3 linked regions of the Danio rerio genome follow. The protein of the gene in region 3 purifies or fractionates together with the protein of the main gene of each other region. This does not show direct contact. Links are inferred from orthologs where the notes say so. Each region holds a gene or a part of one and is shown on either strand. Other genes may lie near its edges.

What was found.
Region 1: the proteins of mphosph10 (region 3) and imp3 purify together in Homo sapiens (affinity purification with mass spectrometry; 4 studies listed by BioGRID and IntAct, with this or other methods). This does not show direct contact. The link is inferred for Danio rerio from reciprocal best matches to the Homo sapiens genes MPHOSPH10 and IMP3.
Region 2: the proteins of mphosph10 (region 3) and imp4 purify together in Homo sapiens (affinity purification with mass spectrometry; 3 studies listed by BioGRID and IntAct, with this or other methods). This does not show direct contact. The link is inferred for Danio rerio from reciprocal best matches to the Homo sapiens genes MPHOSPH10 and IMP4.

Annotation. Positions count from the first base shown.
Region 1 is NC_133177.1:10,331,594-10,337,549, reverse strand, and holds the end of imp3 (U3 small nucleolar ribonucleoprotein protein IMP3), read left to right. Parts: intron 1-3,013; coding exon 3,014-3,065; intron 3,066-3,152; coding exon 3,153-3,225; intron 3,226-3,530; exon of another isoform or gene 3,531-3,831; coding exon 3,832-3,858; 3' UTR 3,859-4,116; downstream 4,117-5,956. UniProt on the Homo sapiens protein: Component of the 60-80S U3 small nucleolar ribonucleoprotein (U3 snoRNP). Required for the early cleavages during pre-18S ribosomal RNA processing. Part of the small subunit (SSU) processome, first precursor of the small eukaryotic ribosomal subunit.
Region 2 is NC_133180.1:27,455,822-27,463,781, reverse strand, and holds the start of imp4 (U3 small nucleolar ribonucleoprotein protein IMP4), read right to left. Parts: upstream 4,453-7,960; 5' UTR 4,385-4,452; coding exon 4,382-4,384; intron 3,616-4,381; coding exon 3,507-3,615; intron 2,259-3,506; coding exon 2,175-2,258; intron 2,097-2,174; coding exon 1,987-2,096; intron 1,831-1,986; coding exon 1,698-1,830; intron 1,603-1,697; coding exon 1,448-1,602; intron 274-1,447; coding exon 179-273; intron 100-178; coding exon 26-99; intron 1-25. UniProt on the Homo sapiens protein: Component of the 60-80S U3 small nucleolar ribonucleoprotein (U3 snoRNP). Required for the early cleavages during pre-18S ribosomal RNA processing. Part of the small subunit (SSU) processome, first precursor of the small eukaryotic ribosomal subunit.
Region 3 is NC_133182.1:30,738,876-30,746,697, reverse strand, and holds the start of mphosph10 (U3 small nucleolar ribonucleoprotein protein MPP10), read left to right. Parts: upstream 1-2,814; 5' UTR 2,815-2,846; coding exon 2,847-2,929; intron 2,930-3,310; coding exon 3,311-4,001; exon of another isoform or gene 4,002-4,103; intron 4,104-4,475; exon of another isoform or gene 4,476-4,585; coding exon of another isoform or gene 4,586-4,681; coding exon 4,682-4,869; coding exon of another isoform or gene 4,870-4,870; intron 4,871-4,978; coding exon 4,979-5,159; intron 5,160-6,543; coding exon 6,544-6,685; intron 6,686-6,772; coding exon 6,773-6,840; intron 6,841-6,999; coding exon 7,000-7,137; intron 7,138-7,822. UniProt on the Homo sapiens protein: Component of the 60-80S U3 small nucleolar ribonucleoprotein (U3 snoRNP). Required for the early cleavages during pre-18S ribosomal RNA processing. Part of the small subunit (SSU) processome, first precursor of the small eukaryotic ribosomal subunit.

The sequences.
Region 1 (5,956 bases), on a different chromosome or scaffold from region 3:
GGAATAAATCTAACAACAAATAAACTAAAGATCACAGTTCAAAAATTTGTACACATAATTAATATGTTGAGAGAAAATATCAAGTAAAATTTTAATTAACAGGACAAAAATCAACATAAACATTAAAAAAATGGAGTTGATGTTGTAGTTTGTATTTGTCTTGTTTGCAATAATGTATATATTGTTCTTTTCTTAAAGATGTTTGGTGTATATTAGGGATGTAACGGTATCAGAATTTCACGGTACGGTAATACCTCGGTATGAATGTCACGGTACGGTATTTATTGAATCATTTACAGAAAAAACAAAACTTATGAAAATACTCCAAAAAAAGTGCCAAAAGTGTCAATGACATACAGATTAGTCATCTATCTGTAAGCTTTGAAACAGGAACTTCAATTTTAATAACAAAAAAATATTAAACCATGTAAAAAAATTAAGTTTCAATTTAGTAGTGTTGAAAACTCATCACATTCAACATTTAATCACTCACTCACTTAGATAGAGATGGGTTTAAAGGAAAATTATCATATAAATATAATCTGGTAAAAGCTGGTATCTCTGGGTATTTACAATGTCCCCTGCAATAGAAAAAAAACCCTCTCATTTGGGACTGAGGTTTGTGGGACAAGAGAGATATGACTTGGCCCAGGTTGACAGCAGTGGGTAACGTTGTGCATTGTCTTTCCCCCACTTGAGAGGACAAACCATGAGTGAGATAGAGATCTCATGTCTGCATCAATCTGAACAGTGTGCTGTGTTTCTGCAGTCCCCATGACTGATTATTAGTCGTATTCCCCAACTTGCAGGCACGTGCACACACAGGGCTCAACCTGTGCAGTGCACATGCCCTTTTTAGTCTTGGATAGAAAGTTCCCTTCCAAAATGATCAAAAGTGCCTCCGCGACATACCCTCCGTCCCCGCTTTACAGTACGCGCGCGACAACACCACTATTCAGTACGCGCGCGGCGACAACACCCAGCTCTTTTTCATCCCCGCTTCTAGCAGCACACTCCATTTCCGCATTACTGGATCTGTAGCGACAACAGACCGCAAGGGATTATGGCCAAGCCTGGGCTGATGGGAATTGTAGTTTCCGGTACCTCCCGTTCGCTTCATTCGCTTGAGCAAATTTTCTCAGAAGACCTATAGTTTTACCGAGTCATGCGACTACGGTAATATCGAAAAAAATTTATATTGCGGTATGACGGTATTCACAATACCGTTACATCCCTAGTGTATATATATTTAATATTAAGTGACTAAAATTTTAATTATAATTAAAAGGTTAAGTAAAATAAAATAGCATCAAATTACCGCAGGCAAATGTTTACATTACTTAGCTTGGTTTATGGAACTGGCCTCTTTATTAGGTACACCTGTCCAACTGCTCATTGACGCAGATTTCTAATCAGCCAATCACATGGCAGCAACTCAATCCATTTAGGCATGTAGACATGGTCAAGACAATCTGCTGCAGTTCAAACCGAGCATCAGAATGGCAAAGAAAGGTAATTTAAGTGGCTTGAACGTGGTGTGACTGTTGGTACCTGACGGGCTGGTCTGAGTATTTCAGAAACTGCTGATCTAAGCTGATTATTACACACAACCATCTCTAGGATTTACAGAGAATGGCATGAAAAAGAGCAAATATCAGGAGTACAGTAACTCAAAAAACCACTCATTACAACAGAGGTCTGCCCAAGAGCATATCTGAATGCACAACATGTCCAACCTTGAGGCGGAGAGGTTACAGCAGCAGAAGGCCACACAGAGTGTTACTACTGGCTGCTAAGACCAGTAAGATGAGGCTACAATTTGCACAGCTCACCAAAATAACACAATAGATTGGAAAAACATTGCTCTGGTCTTTCTGCTGTGACATTCAGATGGTAGGGTCAGAATTTGGCTTTAACAACATGAAAGCATGAATCCATCCTGTCTTGTATCAACGGTTCAGGCTGGTGGTGGTTGTGGTGGTGGTGTAATGATGTAGTAGATGTTTTCTTGGCACATTTTGGGCCCATTACTACCAATTGAGCATTGTCAACGCCACACCCTACATAAGGAGTAATTTTGATGACCATGTCCATCCCTTTATGACCACAGTGTACCCATCTTCTGATGGCTACTTCCAGCAGGATAACACGTCATGTCAAAGTGCAAATCAAATCATCTCAGACTGCTTTCATGACAATGAGTTTACTGTACTCGAATGGCCTCCACAGTCACCAGAACTCAATCCAATAGAGCTCCTTTGGGATGTGGTGAAACCTGAGATTCACATCAGGAATGTGCAGCCAACAAATCTGCAGCAACTGCATGATGCATTCATGTCAATATGACCAAAAACTCTAAGGAATATTTCCAGTACCTTAAATATATGCCACAAAGCATTAAGGCAGTTCTGCGGGGTAAAGGGGGTCCAATCTTGTACTAGTAAGGTGTACCTAATAAAGTGGCCAGTGAGTGTATATATCAATTTTAAATAAACATGAGAGCGCACATGTTTTTGCCTATATGATGCACACGCAACCTAAAGCCACAGGTGACAGTTTGAGTTGTTAGTGGATTCATGTGGTCAAATGTAAATGGGACCATTTTCAGAAATCAAGATAGCCGTCTGAGAAAATGCATGAAGTGGCCCAATGTAAACCAGCACTTTAAGTCTGCTATTAATACTGCTTATGTTTTCTCACCGCTGATTTAGTCTGTGTGTGTCTGTTTTAGCCATTGAGAGAACATTTTACAGCACATATTTACAAATTCATTCAAACACTACTCTATGGGCAGTTTTAAGGTGTTCTCTAACAGTTTATCAATGCTCTGGTAATTTCAAACCTTTGCTTCGAGTATATGAGGACACGTTACATGTTTTATGGACACCGTTATGGCTGAGATTACATTAATATACCTAAAGTGCTCTGATTGTAAACTGTATGCTCAAAAAAACATCAAGCCCTTGTCACTCTGTATAATTGTCAATGAAAATGCATCTTGACTGAGCAACAGATATTCGTGTTGGGCCAGAAGTCATCACTGATCCTGCATTTCTTGTAACAAGGTTTGTCCATTGAAAGAAAGAAAGATAAAAGAAAAAAGTTAAATTATGTGAATCTTTGGCAACTTTTGTTGTGCAATATTTTCACAGAAATATGGAAGATTTTGTCACATGGGTGGATTCCTCCAAGATCAAACAACATGTCATGAACTACAATGAGGAGGTACGTCACAATACATGAATAAATGATCATACACTAGAGTTCAATATCAAGTCGATTACACTCACCAAGGCTGTTTTTAAAATACTTTTTAAAATTGTAACTATTGAAACGAGTATTACAAATTAAAGTAAAGCTTTTGTATTGAAATGTTTTACAAATTGAATTTACTTTGATGATGGCAAAGCTGAATTTGTAGCATCATTACTTTTTTAATTTCAGAATTCATTTTAGTATGCTTTTGATGATTAAGAAACTATTAATATTGTGCTGGACATTTCACAATTTTTCGATAAAAACGAACAGCATTAATTAGAAATATGAATATTCTTTATTGAATATTTTAGTCAAATAGTTTACAATTTAATCGGTTAACAAAAATATATAGCCGATGTTTTAAATAAAATACCTCCAATTTTGATCAGTGTATGCAAAACGTTTAATAATGAAATGCATTCAGGAAAATATTTTCACGTTTATTTAACACATTTCTCCCAGTTTGAATGAATGCTGCCGTTTCTATGATCACATTGATGCTGGTTAAATGAATACAAAACATTTGAACTAATCGCTTGTTTGTTAAAGTTACAATTTTTTTTTTTCTTTCAGCGCGATGACTTTGACCTCATGGCCTAAATCTCCAAGTGAAATGAAAATTTGGATTTCATCCAGAAATTCACTTGTGATTCTTTAATAATGCACAGATACATATTTATTTCCTGCTCCACAGAAGCGAGCATTTATCATTCTTGAAAAAGTGAGTAAATGTATTTGATTTTTGTTATTGTGCATCATTTGTAAACAAAACTTTTTTTTCCAGAATTTAGTTGTTTCTAAAAAACTACCTTCACATTTTACAAATAAATCACAACTTAACCCACAAGGTATACCAAATATAATTTGCATAGCTCTGTTTCCAACATACAGGAGACATACAAGGCAACACACGCATCTTTAACTCCTTCCACTGACATGTTATAAATAAGGAAGGACATCATCATTACAAACCCTCACTAACCTGCATTCAGTATGTCAAAACAGACACAACTTTAAGGCCAGAACAGACTATTTGGTGTCCGAACCATTTTTTTTTTTGTGAGCAAGGCCCTGAGAGTTTCTGCTTGAATTTGTTCCGTGTATTTCACAGCCACCAGAAGCGCACGTAAATGATGAGTGTGATGATAATGACTGCGCCGGCAGCCACTTTAGCGTAGGTAGACCGGGTGTTCAGATATTTGGCATCACTGCGGTACTTCTTAGACAGACTGGACAGATTACTTGCTTTGGAATCCAAGGCTACAGGAAGGGAAAAAAAAAGACATTATTTCAAAGCATTTCAAAATACTGTTATACTTAAACAAATGCAAAGAGTAATCTGCTCATACCAGTACCCTTAAATGCCACTTTACATCTATCCAATAGAAGAAAAACTCAAGATTTTTCTTATAAAATATATTAAAGATAAGGATTGAAACGTATTTTAATATTGTTTTTCTATAATTATCAATTATTCTGGTGTTGTGCGCTGGTAATTTTGCTGATTTAAACCTAGTAATGGATCGATTATCATTGTGGTCTGCATAATAGAGTACACCCCATTTTGAAAATGAATATTTTAATCTAATTCTCAGTGAATATAGACTGTGTTTTGGTGCATTTAAACGAAACATGTTTGTTAAACAGATATATTTATTAAAATACCATTTTAGTCACCGAGCACCTTTAGAAATTGAAAGATAATACAATTAAATTCAAGCAAAATTTAAAAAATAAAAATACAACCTACAAAATTTTAAGTAAATTTTTTGATTTATTTTCCTTCTCTTGATTTTCCCTAATTTTTAAAATTTGTATTTAATATTTTCTATAACAAAAACTTTGGGTGTTTTTGGAGCGTTAGCGCAAGTTATTTGATAGATAAGCTCCAGATTTGGCTTCAGTACTGACTAATCTAATGTATATGCTTAAATATAATATTGTAGAGCTTCCTGTTAAAACATGACTTTAAAAGAGAGATTTGTGAGGGGTGTGCTCAAATATGCTGAGCACTGTACCTTCACCAAGTGTCCAAGTCCTTGTCTGAGCGATTCACTAAATAATTCTGAAGATTCATTCAAAATTCCATTCATTTAGTTTACAGAAAGGGTCATAGAATAACTGACTCTGATTATCTGCTCAAACTATCATTTAGGAACATATTTTGCTTTCATTGTAGGGGTATTCTAATGCCTTGATTCCACTGAGTATCATAAGGTAAGGTACAGTACGATTCGATATAGGTCAACCTGATCAGCCTTGCATTCCCACTGCCAAGAGAATCTTTTTACTTGGTGTTGCAAACAATAATGTCATTCTCACTCACATACATCAAGCCGTGTACAGATTGCCTTCTCTGCACTCAATTTCATTATTTCAAATGCAGACGAGCAGCAAATAGAGGAAGAAAGTGGTCCGCTTTGTACATATTTAGATGTGATTGTTATGGCTTGTTGCACATGCAAGTGACAATTCTCTGTAAACCAGTGGCATTCATTGGCAAGTCTAGCTCCACCTTTTTGTTACCATACTGTTGTGCCATGCACAGTTATGAAGAAGTCGCAAAAAAATTGTTATGGGTTTGTTATTTTAGTACTTTTGAAAGTGGAGACAGAAATGAATGTCTACCGTAGAGTACTGAACTGTAACACTAAGTGGTTTATTAACAGGCATTCATGGCTTCAAATGATTTTAGATA
Region 2 (7,960 bases), on a different chromosome or scaffold from region 3:
CACACGCAAAAAAAAAGTTCCTTACATTTCATTTCAAACCTAGGTCCAACTTCTGTCAACTCAACGTTCTTGTGATCAGTTTTCTTGTAAGTGTGGTGTCTGCAACATTAAGTAATTCCACAGTCGTTATGTTTATTTTGCTCAGAATCATTGATACAGCAGTTAAAGCACAACTCACCTGAAAGAGATGTAATCATCTGTGTTTGCGAACGTAATAACACGTCTGCTATCCTCTTTGGGTACAGGGAACAGATACTTTAGAATGTTGGACACCTAAAAAAAAAACAAATAATAATTCACATTACAAAGCTTATTGTAATGTGCATGACCTTCGATTGAGCCTAGACTACAGCATACGAAGTGGATCTAAAAAGTTTATCAAAATTAAGACTTTTAAAAAATTAAGGTCCACTTCAAATGTTGACAACTGTGTATCATTACAATAATCAAGACATTAATGATATTTGTTTATTTAAAATATAAATAGAATAGAACATATAACATAGCTTTTTTAAAGTTTGGGGTCGTTTTAAAGAGCTGTATTCATTTAAATCACAAATACAGTTAAATGTTATTACACATACAATAGAAATGTTACTACAAAAGCAACTAAAATAACGGTTTTAATATATTTTAAACTGAAGTTTAGTACTTTGATTTTTAAAGCTAAATTTTTAGTCTTCATTAGCCAGTTTCCCTTCAATGATGCTAATTAAATTTATGAGCAAAAGCAGCGTTTTCATCCAGTGAGTCAAAGAGAATAAAATCGTCGCTTCCTGAACTGGCATTAACTGATATTTCAAATATCAACAGTAAAAACAAAATTTGCTGCAGTAGGAGAAGCTGCATCAATCTTTTCTTGATTTAATAAATGACTTGCACCTCAGAAGACAAATGCCAACATGCAATTGCCATGTGGTGGCGTTTAAAGGCATGAGACGTGGAGCAGAGATGCAATTGGCAGTTCTGTATGTAATTAATAATATAACAACACTAAAACTGAAATGGTTAAGATATTTTAGAATGACCACAACAACATTGCAGATGTTTTACAATGTGGTCAGCTTTCCTTATTTATCCATTCACACACATTTTTATCATCACATGATCTCTTATCATAAAATCACATGACTTTAATGCGCATACTGGAATTTGTTCCTTTAAAGTGTTTCCATCGTAGTTTCTTCTGTTTAACACAAAATAAGATATTTTAAATAAAATCTGAAATCACTGACGTTCATAGTTTTTGTTTTTCCTGCTATGGAAGTCAATGGTTACTGGTTTTCAGCTTTCTTCAAAATATCTTCCTTAGTGTCCAACAGAAGGCAGAAAGTCATAAAGGTTTGAAAGTATTCATTTTCTTGGAATCATACAGATCCCAAACATTTGAACGGCTATGCAGATGAGAAACTCATTTTATTATCATTTCTCAGGGTGTACAACTCACTCTTCGTCCAAGACGTGATGTGAAGTTGTGGAAGATGAGGTGAGGGTAGGCTTCGGACATGGTGCCAATGTCTGGAACATCATGTCTCATTACCACATTATACATGGTAAAGTAGGCTGTTGGCCCAAAAGGAAGGTGACACACCACCAATCCATCTAAAAGAACAAGAAGACATAAATACCTTGAGCAAAAACTGCAAGAGGGATATGAAAGTAGACTTACAAGTACGATACAGCATAAAAGCCCATACCTGGCTGACCTCTGGTCTCATGAACTATAACAAGATCAGTGACATTATTAGATTTGCACGCATGTACTAAAGTTTTAACTTCATGGTTTCCTCTGTTCATACGCTGGGCCCCCGGAAACATTAGCTTCATTTCCTGTCAAACAAAACAAAAAATACCTAAATAAACCACAGTCTGTAGATATTGGTTTCCTATACGTCACTATATGCAAAACACCTGCATAAGTACAAGTGTTTTAAACCATAGTACTTCCTCATGCGTGTCAAATGTGAATAATACGATTTAACATACTTTGGCAAACATCTTGAGTCTGGAGCTGGGGTCTCTGGATGTTGTAACCATAATTTTGGGGTCTTCCACTCCTGCCCACTTGTACTCATCATCCATATGAGAACTAACACCTTAAATAATGTAATAAATAGGTTTAAATACAGTAAGAGATGAAACTCAATTCTGATATACGTGAGAGAAAAAGTCACCTTCTCCACCCTCATCATCGAACTCCAAGAGTTTCTGTACTTCTAATGCCTCTTTTCGAACCTCAGTAGGTAACAGACGATTTTCTGCAAGAGAAGTTTAAAATATGACAATTTCAAAATACATTAGACAAGCTTAGAGATGCAACGATTAACCGATTTCACTATCAACTGCGCTTTAATTCGTCACGGTTAATTAATCGTAAAGGCTTCTCAACACCGCGTTTCAGCACGGAACAAAACTGCTTCAACAAAAAGTTATGCCAACAGTCATGAATCATTAAGAAGCAGTCTCTTCTCATAGGATAAGAAAACTCAGCTATGAATAATAATGAGAAACCAACGTGTCATCTTTGCACTTGCAGTTTTGCACAATGTCTCCGATTTTGATCCCGCACCAAAAATCATTTTAAACCCGGAAGCTGAAATTAGCCGACAAAAGCTCAAAGTTATCCAGTTTTCCTCACAATAAAAGCTGACAGGTGCTAACATTGTCTTAACTGATGCTCAACACACACAATTCTGTTAAAATCTCAAAAAAGTATTCAGCGGTTTCGGGAACCTTTAACTATGGCTGAGGTTAACTAACGGTTATTCACATATCGCACCTTTTGGGGCAGAAAGTTCATTTTTTCTTTTCTTGCGCACATATTGACAGCAATGGGCTTACAATTTCCAGGCACACCTAGTTGAAAGAACGGCGCTAGTGCACTGCAAGTCACTAGACCAGTCAAGAACAGACCAGTCAGCTTTATAATATGTATGGAATATACACATTTCTACTACAAGGAGAACAAAATGAAATACAATAAAAGTTCATAATATAGTTGATTAAAAGCGTCTTTCAGACTGAGGCTCAGCAGCCTTTGACTACATTTATTTTCTTTAAAAGGGAAACACTGAGCTAATATGTAGCTAAGATTTACATTGGACAAATCCTTTTTTTTCTATTTATTCTTATTTTAATTTATTTATTTATTGTTCTGTCATTTATTATTAGTGTAAAATTATTACTTATGTTTAAAAGTCAAAATCTTTTTTTCTTTTATTTATTTTTTATTATTTTTTTCTTTTATAAGTCCAAAAAGAAATGGACAATTGTTTGTTTTTTATTATTATTTTGTGTTGTATTAATTGTTTACTGAGCAGCAGTAAACAACACTTTAAAATATAAGGAGTCCATGTGATTTTCTAAACTAGTAGTGTTTTAATATTAATGAACGCATAATAATTGTGATAACCGTGAATGTGTGATTATTCCTCAGACTATAATCGTACAACCAAAATCTAAAATCGTTGCATCCCTAGACAAGCTATTTACTGCTGGAAACTGACCATCTAAAGCAGACTTGAGCTTCTGTTTTTTCTCTTCAATAGTGCGCAGTCTGTCCTCCTGGGCTTTCCTGTACAGGTATTCCTTCCTCAGTCTCACTTCCCGTCGCAGCTATGGGCAAAAGAAACAATTAAAATAAAATTAATTCATCGTCACATGATCCTGAAACTATTCTAATATGCTGAAAAACATTTCAACCAAAAAAAAAAAAAACTGATGTGCTGCTGAAATGAATTTGAGGAAACTACAAGACTTGCAGGATTCTTTGATAAATAGCAAGTTAAAAAGGACAATTTTGATTTTAAATAAAATTACACTTTAACATAAAGCTAGGTCTCACTTGATCTATTGAAATTGTCCCAGTTGAATATAGTGCTTAATGGGAAATCATATGCATGAAATGCTTACTGCAAAATTGGACTGCATTAGATAAAAAGCAAGCAATGTAGCTATCAAGACCAAATATAGCTACTGTATATGCTCATGTCACAATATATAATGATCTTCACAGAGAGTATATTATTGGCAAATATTTTAAGACAATTAACGTTAACGTTATGCTACAATTATAGAACAATTGAAAAAAAAATTAAGTTTACTTTTAGGGAATCAATTAACATGAATAAATAACTGTACCGATTTTTACACTGGGTAGGGAACAAAATCCTACTTTTAATATAACGTTAGGTTTATATACTGATCATTCTTCATTGTAAGTTAGAGCTTGATCACACTATAACACAAGTAAAAAGCCACAATATTGGCATCATAAACCCCTTATGTATGAAGCGCGAGAGGAAAAACGGATTAAATGAATTTAATGCGAAACTCAAACATGTCTAATAAAATAAATACATTATATTTAAGTTGTACTAACCATTTTGAGAAACTACACGTGACAATTCTGCCTCACGGTCTACAATCACGACTTCCTGTTAGACAACAAGCAAGCATGACGCGGTCTTTCAAAATAAAAGTTCTCGGCACAATACAAATAAAGTTATGGCAAGCCGTTTTAGCTTAAACAAAGCTTTGTTCTGACCAATGAAGGTATTTCGGAACGATTGCATTGTGACGTACGATGTTATAATCCGACTAGTCCGAATGACAATTGGAGAAATCTGCAATCATAAATGTTCTAGTAAGAAAACAGATTCCACATAGGCCTGTAAATGTATTTTGATTATATTTGGGAAAGCTATTATTTATTTAATTGTTTTTACATTTTTAATAATTTATTCATTTCTTTTGGCTTAATCCTTGATTTATCAGGGTCGCAGCAGAATGAACCATCAACTACTCTGGCATATGACATAGATATTATTTGACATCATACATCCTCAAAGGTAAAAAGAAAATTCTTGAAATTGGTTTTGACTGATCTCAAATATATTTAGAGATATCTGAATTTGCTCCTAGTACAAATCGTTCTGCGACGTGATTACCTCAGCTCTCCATTAAATATACTGTAAAAAAAATTCATTCATATTTCGAAAATATACCTCGTCATGGACTTTTAATTTTCAGTAAGCCACCTCAAACACTTCCGGTGAACTGTTATGTCAACTGCCATTACAAAATCGCAGAGTTTAAGATCTGTTTTATTTAAAAATCAAATTCACTGCCTGATTGATATACTGTACGATAGAAAGTGAATCTCAGACCGGATAAGAAGCACTGTTTTAAACTCCATTGTTCTGTGTCTTGCTTAGAAATTTAATTTACCATAGTATTTTCAATGGAGTTTCTGTGCTCCCGTACTGTGTCTTGTCATCTTGTTTTACACCTGAACAATTAAATTAATGCTGCAGTCTATTTTAATGACTGTAATCTGATTAAATTAAATACAAATGGGTCTGTATGAAATTCATGAATCACATTGACCATTTACTACAGGTTTATGGTGGCTGGAACTTGCTGTGCAAAAAGATCATTTAGGTATCCATAAAATGATTTTGAATAGTCAGAATGTTAATATAACATATAACTACATGACTTTATTCAAAGTCACAAAGTTGAATGCAGATATCAGCTCACCAGACTGAGCTATATAATAAAACTAGAGATATCTTTAAATGAGTTTTGACTAAGAAGAATTTCAATTTTATTTACATTAAATGGTTCCTATTTACATTTAGCTGGTTCCAAAGGTCCAATTCATGATATAAAAGTAATTTGACTAGTGCTAAATTATTGTAATTGTATTTTGGATATCTCTTGAATATGGTAAATTAAATTAAATATCTCTAGTTTGGTAATGACAAGTCAAACACTAGAGATATCTAAAAATAAAATAGTTACTAGCAGCATTTTATTACTGCTAGTAAAATTAGAATTTGAAATATCCCAAAAGTATATTTAGGACTAGTCACAATAACGCTGTAGACATATTTAATGCACATAACGCGCCTTAGTCATAACCACATTGTAGATATCTTTATTCCAGTTAAAACAAGTCAAAAATATAAAATAGATTTTTGGAAATTATATTGGAATTTGGACTAGTCAAAAATAAAATTATGACTATACAGCATTTATGTAAGAGTATTTATGTTAAAATGGCTTGCCATATTGATTGACAAAATAGTAGTTGAAACATTCAGTGCTCAGCATATATAAGTACAGTAGCACAACCTTCACAAATCTCTTTTAAATGCATATCTTTAGTAGAAAGCTGTACAATATTATATGTGTGCATTAGATTAGTCAGAACTGAAGCCAAATCTGAAGCTGATCTAACAAATTAACTTAACGGTCCAAAAATTTGTACATTTAAATTTATACGTTTTAGAAAAATAATAAATACAAATTTTAAAAAGAGGAAAAGTCAAGAGAAGAAAAAAAGGGAAAAATGCATATTTTGTAGATTTTTTTTCAATTGCATTATCTTGCAATTTCTGAATATGTTTGGTGACTAAAAAATTATTTTAATAAATAAATTTGTTTGGTTTAAATGCACCCAAATGCATTGCCTATATTCACTGAGAAATGGACAAAAACATTAATTTTCAAAATTGGGTGTACACATTTATGCTGCACACTAGTTGATGTTTATAATTTATAATTCAACTTATAATGATCTTTGAGATACACATAATGTTATTAAGAGTTTCGCATCAAAGATAAAAATAGGCTATTTTTCTATGTTTTTGACCGTCAAAGAAAGTCTCAATACTAGTTTCGGTAGTCATGTGGTTCCAGTGGTGTCTGCGGTAGACATGGCAATAAGATCAAAATGGAGGAAATAGTTTTTTCCCACAACATCATGCTGCACAAACACCTTTGATGTCAGTTTGCCAAGAAATCTTGTCTTTGCATCTATCTTGTGTTTGTTTACTTACTACTTTGAGCTGGGTAGTTACGGATTACATGTAGGCTAATCTAGATTATCTAAGCCAGTGGTTCTTATTTCCGGTTCCTGGATCCCCTCACCCTGCACATTTTGCATGTCTTGCTTACTTAAAACACCTGATTCAGATCATCAACTCATTAGCAGAGAATCCATGAATTGATCCTTGTGTGTGTTAAATAAGAGAGACATACAAAGTGTGCAGGCCCAAAGACTGGAATTGAGAACATTTACATTTACATTTACATTTAGTCATTTAGCAGACGCTTTTATCCAAAGCGACTTACAAATGAGGACAAGGAAGCAATTTACACAACTAAGAGCAACAATGAATAAGTACTAAAGGCAAGTTTCAGGTCTGTAAAGTCTAAGAAGGGAAGTGTTTTTTTTTTTTTTTTTTTTTTTTTTTTTTTTTTTTTGTACAATTAGTGTGATATTCAAAGAGGCAATTGCAGCTTAGGAAGTGAAGTGGAGACTAAATAGTTGAGTTTTTAGTCGTTTCTTGAAAAATAGCGAGTGACTCTGCTGTTCTGATGCAGTTAGGGAGTTCATTCCACCAACTGGGCAGATTGAGCGTGAGCGTTCGCGAAAGTGATTTTTTCCCTCTTTGGGATGGAACCACGAGGCGACGTTCATTCACAGAACGCAAGTTTCTGGAGGGCACATAGATCTGCAGAAGTGAGTGCAGATAAGAAGGTGCTAGGCCAGAAGTCACTTTGTAGGCAAACATCAGAGTTTTGAATTTGATGCGAGCAGCAACTGGCAGCCAGTGCAAACGGACTAGCAGCGGAGTGACATGTGCTCGTTTAGGTTCATTGAAGACAACTCGTGCTGCTGCATTCTGGAGCAGTTGAAGAGGCTTGATAGAGTTAGCTGGAAGCCCAGCTAGTAGAGAGTTGCAGTAATCCAGTTTGGAGAGAACAAGAGCTTGAACAAGGAGTTGAGCTGCATGTTCAGATAAGAAGGGTCGGATCTTTCTGATGTTATAGAGTGCAAATCTGCACGATCGAGCAGTTCTAGAAATGTGGTCAGAGAAGTTTAGTTGGTCATCAATCGTTACTCCAAGGCTTTTCACCATTTTGGATGTAGTAATGGTTGCCCCATCCA
Region 3 (7,822 bases):
CCAAGCGTAAATACAAATATTATTTATAAATGTTACACACTAAATTACTCTTTTAAATTATGAAATTAACCATTTATTCAAGTCATTGAAGAAAATCATCAGTTAGGAATAAATACATAATTATCATAAATGTCAAATACACCGTAACAGGTTACAATAATAGGTTCTGGAATTGTCTGAAAATCTTTGCATATATCACTTAATACATTAAGATGTAGAACTCAACAGTCGAATCAAAGTCACTGGTTTGCAAGACAGAAATATCAATGTTTATTATCTAGGCCTGTTCTATCTCAACAAGTACCCCATCACAGTCTTTAGGGTGGAGGAACATCACAGGTTTGCCATGAGCTCCTATCCGTGGCTCTGGGGAGAGCAGGCGGATTTTCTTTTCCTTCAAATCAACTATTGCTGCATTGATATCATCCACCTGCAATCAAATGGGCAACACAATACTTTTTAGAGAAGTTTAAGGTTCATGATAGTTCCTGTATGTTTTCTGTTAACAAGTAAACTGATTCGTTTCTAAAAAGCTTAAAAAGGTTAGAAGACACAACACAAAAAAGACGGTTTCTGGATTTGTATTATTTTTTCTTTCTTTTTTTTCTTTTATGATAACTGCCATAATTTATGTTAGTTTTATGTTGTAAAGTTGTAAATGCATGAATTAGCACATTAATTATTTAATACTGCATTCTGTTATTTCACATTCATTCTAAAAACTATTTTAAATATGCAATGTGTTTTTAACCTAGGTTATGCATATTCAATGTACATTGTAAATTAGTATGATACATGACTCCAACAAGATTTTACCGGCATGTCTGTTTGCAAATTTTGAGAGAAGCCAAAAACAAGTTTCACTACTAAAAATGTATATCTGACACTTTAGTTCTTCAAAATGCAAAAAGCTTACAAATTTAGTAAACTAAAATAAAAAGCAATACATTTAATAACTGTTCTAAGGGCTGCACAATATATTGTTTCAGCATTGATACTGCAATGTGATCACTCAATAGTTTCATTGCAAGTTATGCGATGTTGAGTTTGTAATATTATAATTCATCATTTGCATGTGTTTTTGAGGCATTCAGGCATACGAAATTGTACATTTTGTAACTTTAATAATGAATTTAGAGTCACAGAAAAGGTAACTGGTTCAAGCCTCGGCTGGGTCAGTTTGCATTTCTGTGTGAGTTTGCATGATCTCCCCGTGTTTGCATGGGTTTCCCCTGGGTGCTCCAGTTTCCCCCAGTCCAAAGATATGCGCGATAAGTGAATTGGGTAAGCTAAATTGTCTGTAGAGTATGTGTGTGAATGAGTGTGTATGGATGTTTCCTAGTACTTGGTTACAGCTGGAAGGGCATCCGCTGCATAAAACATATAATGGATAAGTTGGCGGTTCATTCCACTGTGGTGACCCCAGATTAATAAAGGGACTAAGCCAAAAAGAAAATGAATGAATGAATAATAAATTTAAAATATTTTTCATTTGTATTATTCAATTACTGTACCTGAATACTGTTAGACTCTGAGAAGGATAAAACAGTTTATTTCTATTGTATACTTTTCTTACTGTATTTATATATTGATAATGAATTTAATTTATAGAATTTATAAATAGATTTATGCTTGTAGATTGTTTATGGAGATGCACCCTACAGAATCAACCATCTTAATCTAAAATTATGAATTCTTTCCAGATAAAGATTCAAATCATCAGGTGAAATTGTATTCATATTGCAATATACAAATGGCAGAAGAGCAAAATATTGTAATATTCGATTTCTCCAATATCATGCAGCCCTAATTGCTCTATTGAAAAACATACATAATCAAAATCAAGGTAAATGTTATGTATCTATTAAAATCTTATGAAAACAAGCAAGATTGTCATAGCAGGGAACATATCAGCCAATAAGAAGGTGCTTTAAATATTGTATTAAAATCGGTGACCTCCAAATTATAAAGAATAGAGAACTACTGATTTCCCCTAATCTGATGTACCTCAATGCAGATATGATGCATCCCTCCAGCTTTGTTCTTCTGCAGGAATCCTGCAATAGGACTTTTCTCTCCCAGTGGGTGCAGAAGCTCTAGTTTAGTGTTGCCCAGTTCCACAAACACAGTGTACACCCCATGCTCAGGGAGAGGCACAGTGTCGCTCACTTGAGCCCCCAGCACATCACGGTACAGGGCTGTGGCTTTCTCCAGGTCTGGCACTGCGATAGCCACGTGATTCAGCCTGCCCAACTTCCACAATGACTGAGGGACACCTTGACTGACGGGACAAGTCAGAGACAGAGCCCTCACTGGGGGTAAAGTGTGCCAGGCACACCTCGACAGCCCTGTAACTGCAGGAGAGATCAGCCTCAATGTGGATGCAATAAATATAGTACGATAATAATAAATTATATTATGGATTTCAAACATGAAAGCTGTCAGAGAGGGAGACAGATATTACAGAGACACATGCAAACTGAATAAACTCATTCATCGGAAAGATGTAGGCGCAATAAAACATCTCAGCTTACTACTATTTACCTGCAACCTTCAGTAAAGAGGAAGCCATCTTTGTGGTCGCTGAGAGAAAACTTTATTTAAAAAGAACGAAGCACGTGTTTAAATACTCGTTCTGGTTATAAACGCTAAATTAACATATTACTTATTTTTATATTTACATATAAGATGCACAACCTTTATACATAATTGTGTCATACTGTAACTCATTAAATCGCAAAAGGGACAAGTTTAACTTTCTGCGCGGAACTCAATGCAATGCCTTATGTTTCCGGGGGGTTGTGTTTACCAAGCGCACGCTCAGCGTCACCCATGTGAGTGCAGAGATGGCGACGAGGGATGGCGGCACGCTGGAAAGCTGTTTACAGTTATTAAACAGCAACACGTCACACCCGGAGCTATTTCTCAGGTTCGGTGCACATTAAATGATTTAAAAAAATTCTGAACGCGTTACAACATTTTATTGCTTTAAAAGTTATGAAACACGTATCGGGCCACGCATGTGCAAAACGCTCACGTTGTGGTTGCCAGGTTAAATATGCTTTAAAAATGTAAATGACACAGTTATACATGTGCTGTAAATGTAAATAACACAGTTGATAATTTCTCCGTTCATGAATGATTACCTGTGTGAGTTTTATTTTTAAACTTGAAGCTAAAATTATTCGCGTTATCAGTAGTCATTCGGTAAACTAAGTTACAGCTATGTCCGGGAAGAACTTACTGTCATCTTTTCTATTTTATCTATTATAAAATATGATATATTTTATCATCTTATCTATTATTGCAGTGTCCAGGATGTTTTGGCAACAGACTTCAGATCACTTACAAAGACTCTTTATGACCTGCAAAAAGCCCACGAACCTGCAGATTGTAAAGGAAGCCCACTGGAGCAGCTGGTGGTTGAAAACTTCGACGAGGAGCAAATATGGCAAGAGCTGGAGCTTCAGAACAGCGCATTACTGACACACTTTGAGCAGGCAGTCGAGCAGGCGGTCACTGATGATGCTATAACATTTCTGAATGATGAAGGTGATGATGTTGAAGAAGACGAAGAGGAGTTGGAGGATGTTGATGATGAGGAAATTGCTGATAACTTGGAGCAAGGGAGTGCTGAGGAGGAGGATGATGAAGATGCAGAGGAGGAAACTACACAGAGGCTGAAACCTACAAGCAATGGGGAAGATGACTTCTCTGGCGAAGACTCCGATTTGGACTTTGATGTAGATAAATTTGAGAAACAAACCAAACAGAGACAGTCTGCTGCTGGCAAGTTAACAAAATCTAAACCGAACTGGACTCAGTCTGAAGTGGATGACAAGTTTTTTAAACTGTCAGAAATGGAGGCTTTTCTGGATGACATGGATAAAAGAGAGGGAAAAGGGAATGAAGGGGAGGAAATTGATTACTTTCAGGATCTGCCGTCTGATGAAGACGATGAACTGAGCTTTGATAAACCAGTCGTGAAGAAGAAACTTAAGGTAATGGTGTTTATTTTAAGCAGTAACATACTTCTTTGTGTTATTTTGATACTTTTTATGTTTTAATTTTACAGTATTACATCAGTCTACAGGGCTCTAGTTGTTTAATATTAGGTTGTATAGATATGTTGTGTAATGCAGTGCTCAACATAATTGAGTACAACCTGTTTTGAAAATGAATATCTTTATCCATATTTATTTATCCAATAAAACAGATTAAGTAAACAGATGTATTAATTAAAATAATATTTTAGTCACCAAACATATTCAGAAATTGAAAGATAATACAATTAAGTTCAAGCATAATATAAAAAAAAAATACAAACTGCAAAATTTCAACAATTTTTTTTTCCATTTTTCTGTTTCTCTTGGATTTTTTTTTTTTTCTCTTTTAAATTTGTATTTAATATTTTTATATAACATATAAATTTGGGTGTACTAGTAACGGAAGTTATTTTGTTAGATAAACTCCAGATTTGGCTTCAGTACTGACTAATCTAATGTATATGCACAAATATATTATTGTATAGCCTCCTATTAAAATATGAATTTAAAAGAGAGATTTGTGAGGGGTGTACGTGTATATGCTGAGCACTGTGAATTTCAGTATTGATTTATTTAGAATACTTTGTGCTATGATGATGTATTTTGTAAAACTCACAATGGGATTTGGTTTTCAGAATAAAAGCTCCAGAAATATGAAATACAAAGATTTCTTTGCACCTGTGGACGGAGAGCCTGACCCTATTCCAGATGAAGAAAAAGAGCTGGAATCGAATGATGATTATGAGGGAGAAGAACAAGATGATGATGAACTAGAGGAGGAAGATGAAGAGGATATGAATGAGGAGGATTTTGATATGGAGAGGTAAGTCTTGAGGATACCTGCTGTCTGTTTGTGTGATATTTGTGTTACCATAATGTGTTAAAGCAAGCCTACCTCATAATTCTGATCTAATGTTTGCCTCTTCACTTAGGGATGATGATGATGATGATGATGATGATATAGGTGACAAAGTGAGAGATGGTTCACGCAGGGTGACCTTTGACCTTCCTGATGACAGTGAGGGTGAAGATGTAGAAGACATTCTAGGTGGAAAAGCAAAAGATGTGCCTAAACCTGAGTCTAAGTCATCATTTGAAAAGCGACAGGAAAAGGTTTGCTTTATACTAGGCCTGTCATGATTTACAACAAATATATGCAGTAAATTATTCTGTTTTGTGTTGTTTACAGTCCAGCGTTGTTGTACGGCTTCATATAATGTTGAATGATTGTGATTGAATTGAATGACCATTATTAGATGAGTAACCAAAAATTGCGACTTTAAACCGTAAATGAAAAAATATTTCCTCTTTTTTCCTGTAAACTTCAAAGTGTATTTGATAGTGTTGTTTTATGATTGTTTATTCATATATTTTGTACATTTTCAAAACAAGCTTTTATTATTGTATTTTGTTAATTTTTGGTTTAATTTATATACAGTTAAAGACATGATCAAAAGGGCCTACTGAGAAATGAAATCTTTTTAGTGATGTTTAACATGGCAAGGTAATTTCTGACATTATTTCCCATTCTAGTTTTCCATTTTTATAACTTTTTTTTTTTTTATTTAAGAAAAAAAAGGAAAACGGAACAAAATGGGTATCATAGTGTTCACTGTATTAAATCTCAATCCATTTAATGCACCTTATTTACAATGCCGTACTCAGTTTCATCTTTTCTTAAATCAAGTGTTTAGGGATTTATTGTCATTCTGCTACATGTGGGGACATACAGAGGAATGAAATTTCATGCCTCACAGGAAAAGGGTGTTACACAATTAATCATTAATACAAACACAACACTGGACATAAGAGCTTTTAAAAAAAAATAAATAAACCTATGCTTTACTAACATATACTGTAAGATACTTAACTACTTAACTAAAGTACATTTACATGAGTTAATCTTGAGTTAAACCCATTCACATATTCTTTCTTTTAGTTTGGCTGGAATAAAAAAATGGCAAAGGTTAATATTACTAGCTGCTTGCATTTTTTTCTCTCCACAATTTGATACAGTAGTTGTGCAGTAACCTGCTTGTTTAACCCAGCTTGCCTAGTAAACCTAATTAGCCTAGTTTAGACTTTAAATTTTACTTTAAGCTGAATACTAGTTCCCTGCAAAAGCACTAGTGAAATGGTATGTACTCTCATCATGGCACAGACTAAATAAATAAGTTATAAGAAATTGCTAATTTTTATGTTAAAAAATGTTTGCAAAAATATTTGTTAGTCATCTCTTGGGAGATATTTGAAATAAAAGTGAGATTAGAATATATAATTTTCATTAAATTTTATTTATCATGTTTTATTTATTTTTAGTAACTTAAATCTATTTGGACAAAAACAGCTTCTGCCTAATGACAAAAGCGTCTGCTAAATGTAAATGTATTTCAGACAATTCAGCTAACATTTCTTTATTTTTTCATCTTTTTTTAAGGAATAATTGATGATTTTTAGTCGTCAGCCATAACCCTGATTTGCCATCAATTTTTTGCAGATGGTGAAGCAGATTGAAGAGCTGGAAAATGCTGCGTTGTCAGAGAAGCCGTGGCAGCTGTCAGGAGAGGTGACTGCTCAGACTCGACCAGAGAACAGCATGCTGGAAGAGGACATAGCCTTTGATCAGGCCTCTCGAATGGGTGAGAGCTTTACTCGGGCGTTCACAGCAGAAAGCAAACAAATCTAAGCATACTATCAGTGCATGACTTGCATTCTCTTCTCCACAGCTCCTGCAATCACTGAGGAAACTACCTTACAACTTGAGGATATCATCAAACAGAGAATCAAAGATCAGGTTTGTATACAACTTGAGAAAATAGGGGGAAATAATTAGTACATTTAGTGCACATTGTCCCTTTTAACTAAATACAACCTCAAATGATTTTCTTCTTCATGAATAAGATCATGTCTCTCACCGTATCTGATCAGTTTTTGTTGTGTTTGTGTGTCTCAGGTGTGGGATGATGTGGTCAGGAAAGAGAAGCCTAAAGAAGAGGTGTTTGAGTATAAAAAGAGACTCACTCTGGATCATGAGAAGAGCAAACTGAGTCTGGCTGAGGTTTATGAGCAGGAGTATATCAAGCAGACACAGGTGAGCTCAGTGGATCATATCATTTCCTGTCTGTAAGGAATATTTCTGAAGGTAAAATGAAATTTCTACCATTTTTTATTTGTTCCAAAATTAAAACAGAGTTTTGTTGTTCTGTTGAAAACAAAAGTAGATATTTTAAAGAAAGCTAGATACCTGTTGCCATCAGCTTCCATAGTATTTGTTGTTCTTACTATGGAAGTTAATGTTTTCATGTTAAAGGTTTCAGCTTTTTTCATAACCAAATCAAAGAAAGAACTCAAAGGTTTGGAACTGCTTTAGTGTGAGTAAATTTTCATTTTTAGTGGAACAATCTCTGTGAATATGATTATAGGGAAGGGAAAAGGGCTTTTCATGCATTAAAATGATAAGTGTAATACTGCTTCATTAGATTTTGTCTTTGCAAAAAACATGTCTATTCTAAAGCCCTTTACAGTAGTTTATATACCAAACATCTTGTCAGGCCTGTTAAGAACAAGAATAATTTGATAACATGATAAATAAAACTCGATTTAAGTATCACAGAGCAGCTCTGAAATACTGATTTTAAATCTTAATTGCAACTTATCCTTCACATTTTCAAAGTTTGGAGCCATTTGTTGTGTTTTTTTATAATTCAGAGATGGAAAAATCAGTATGATTCAGTTCTTTAATTGAAAAAGTGTAGGTCAGAATAAGAATAGTTTCT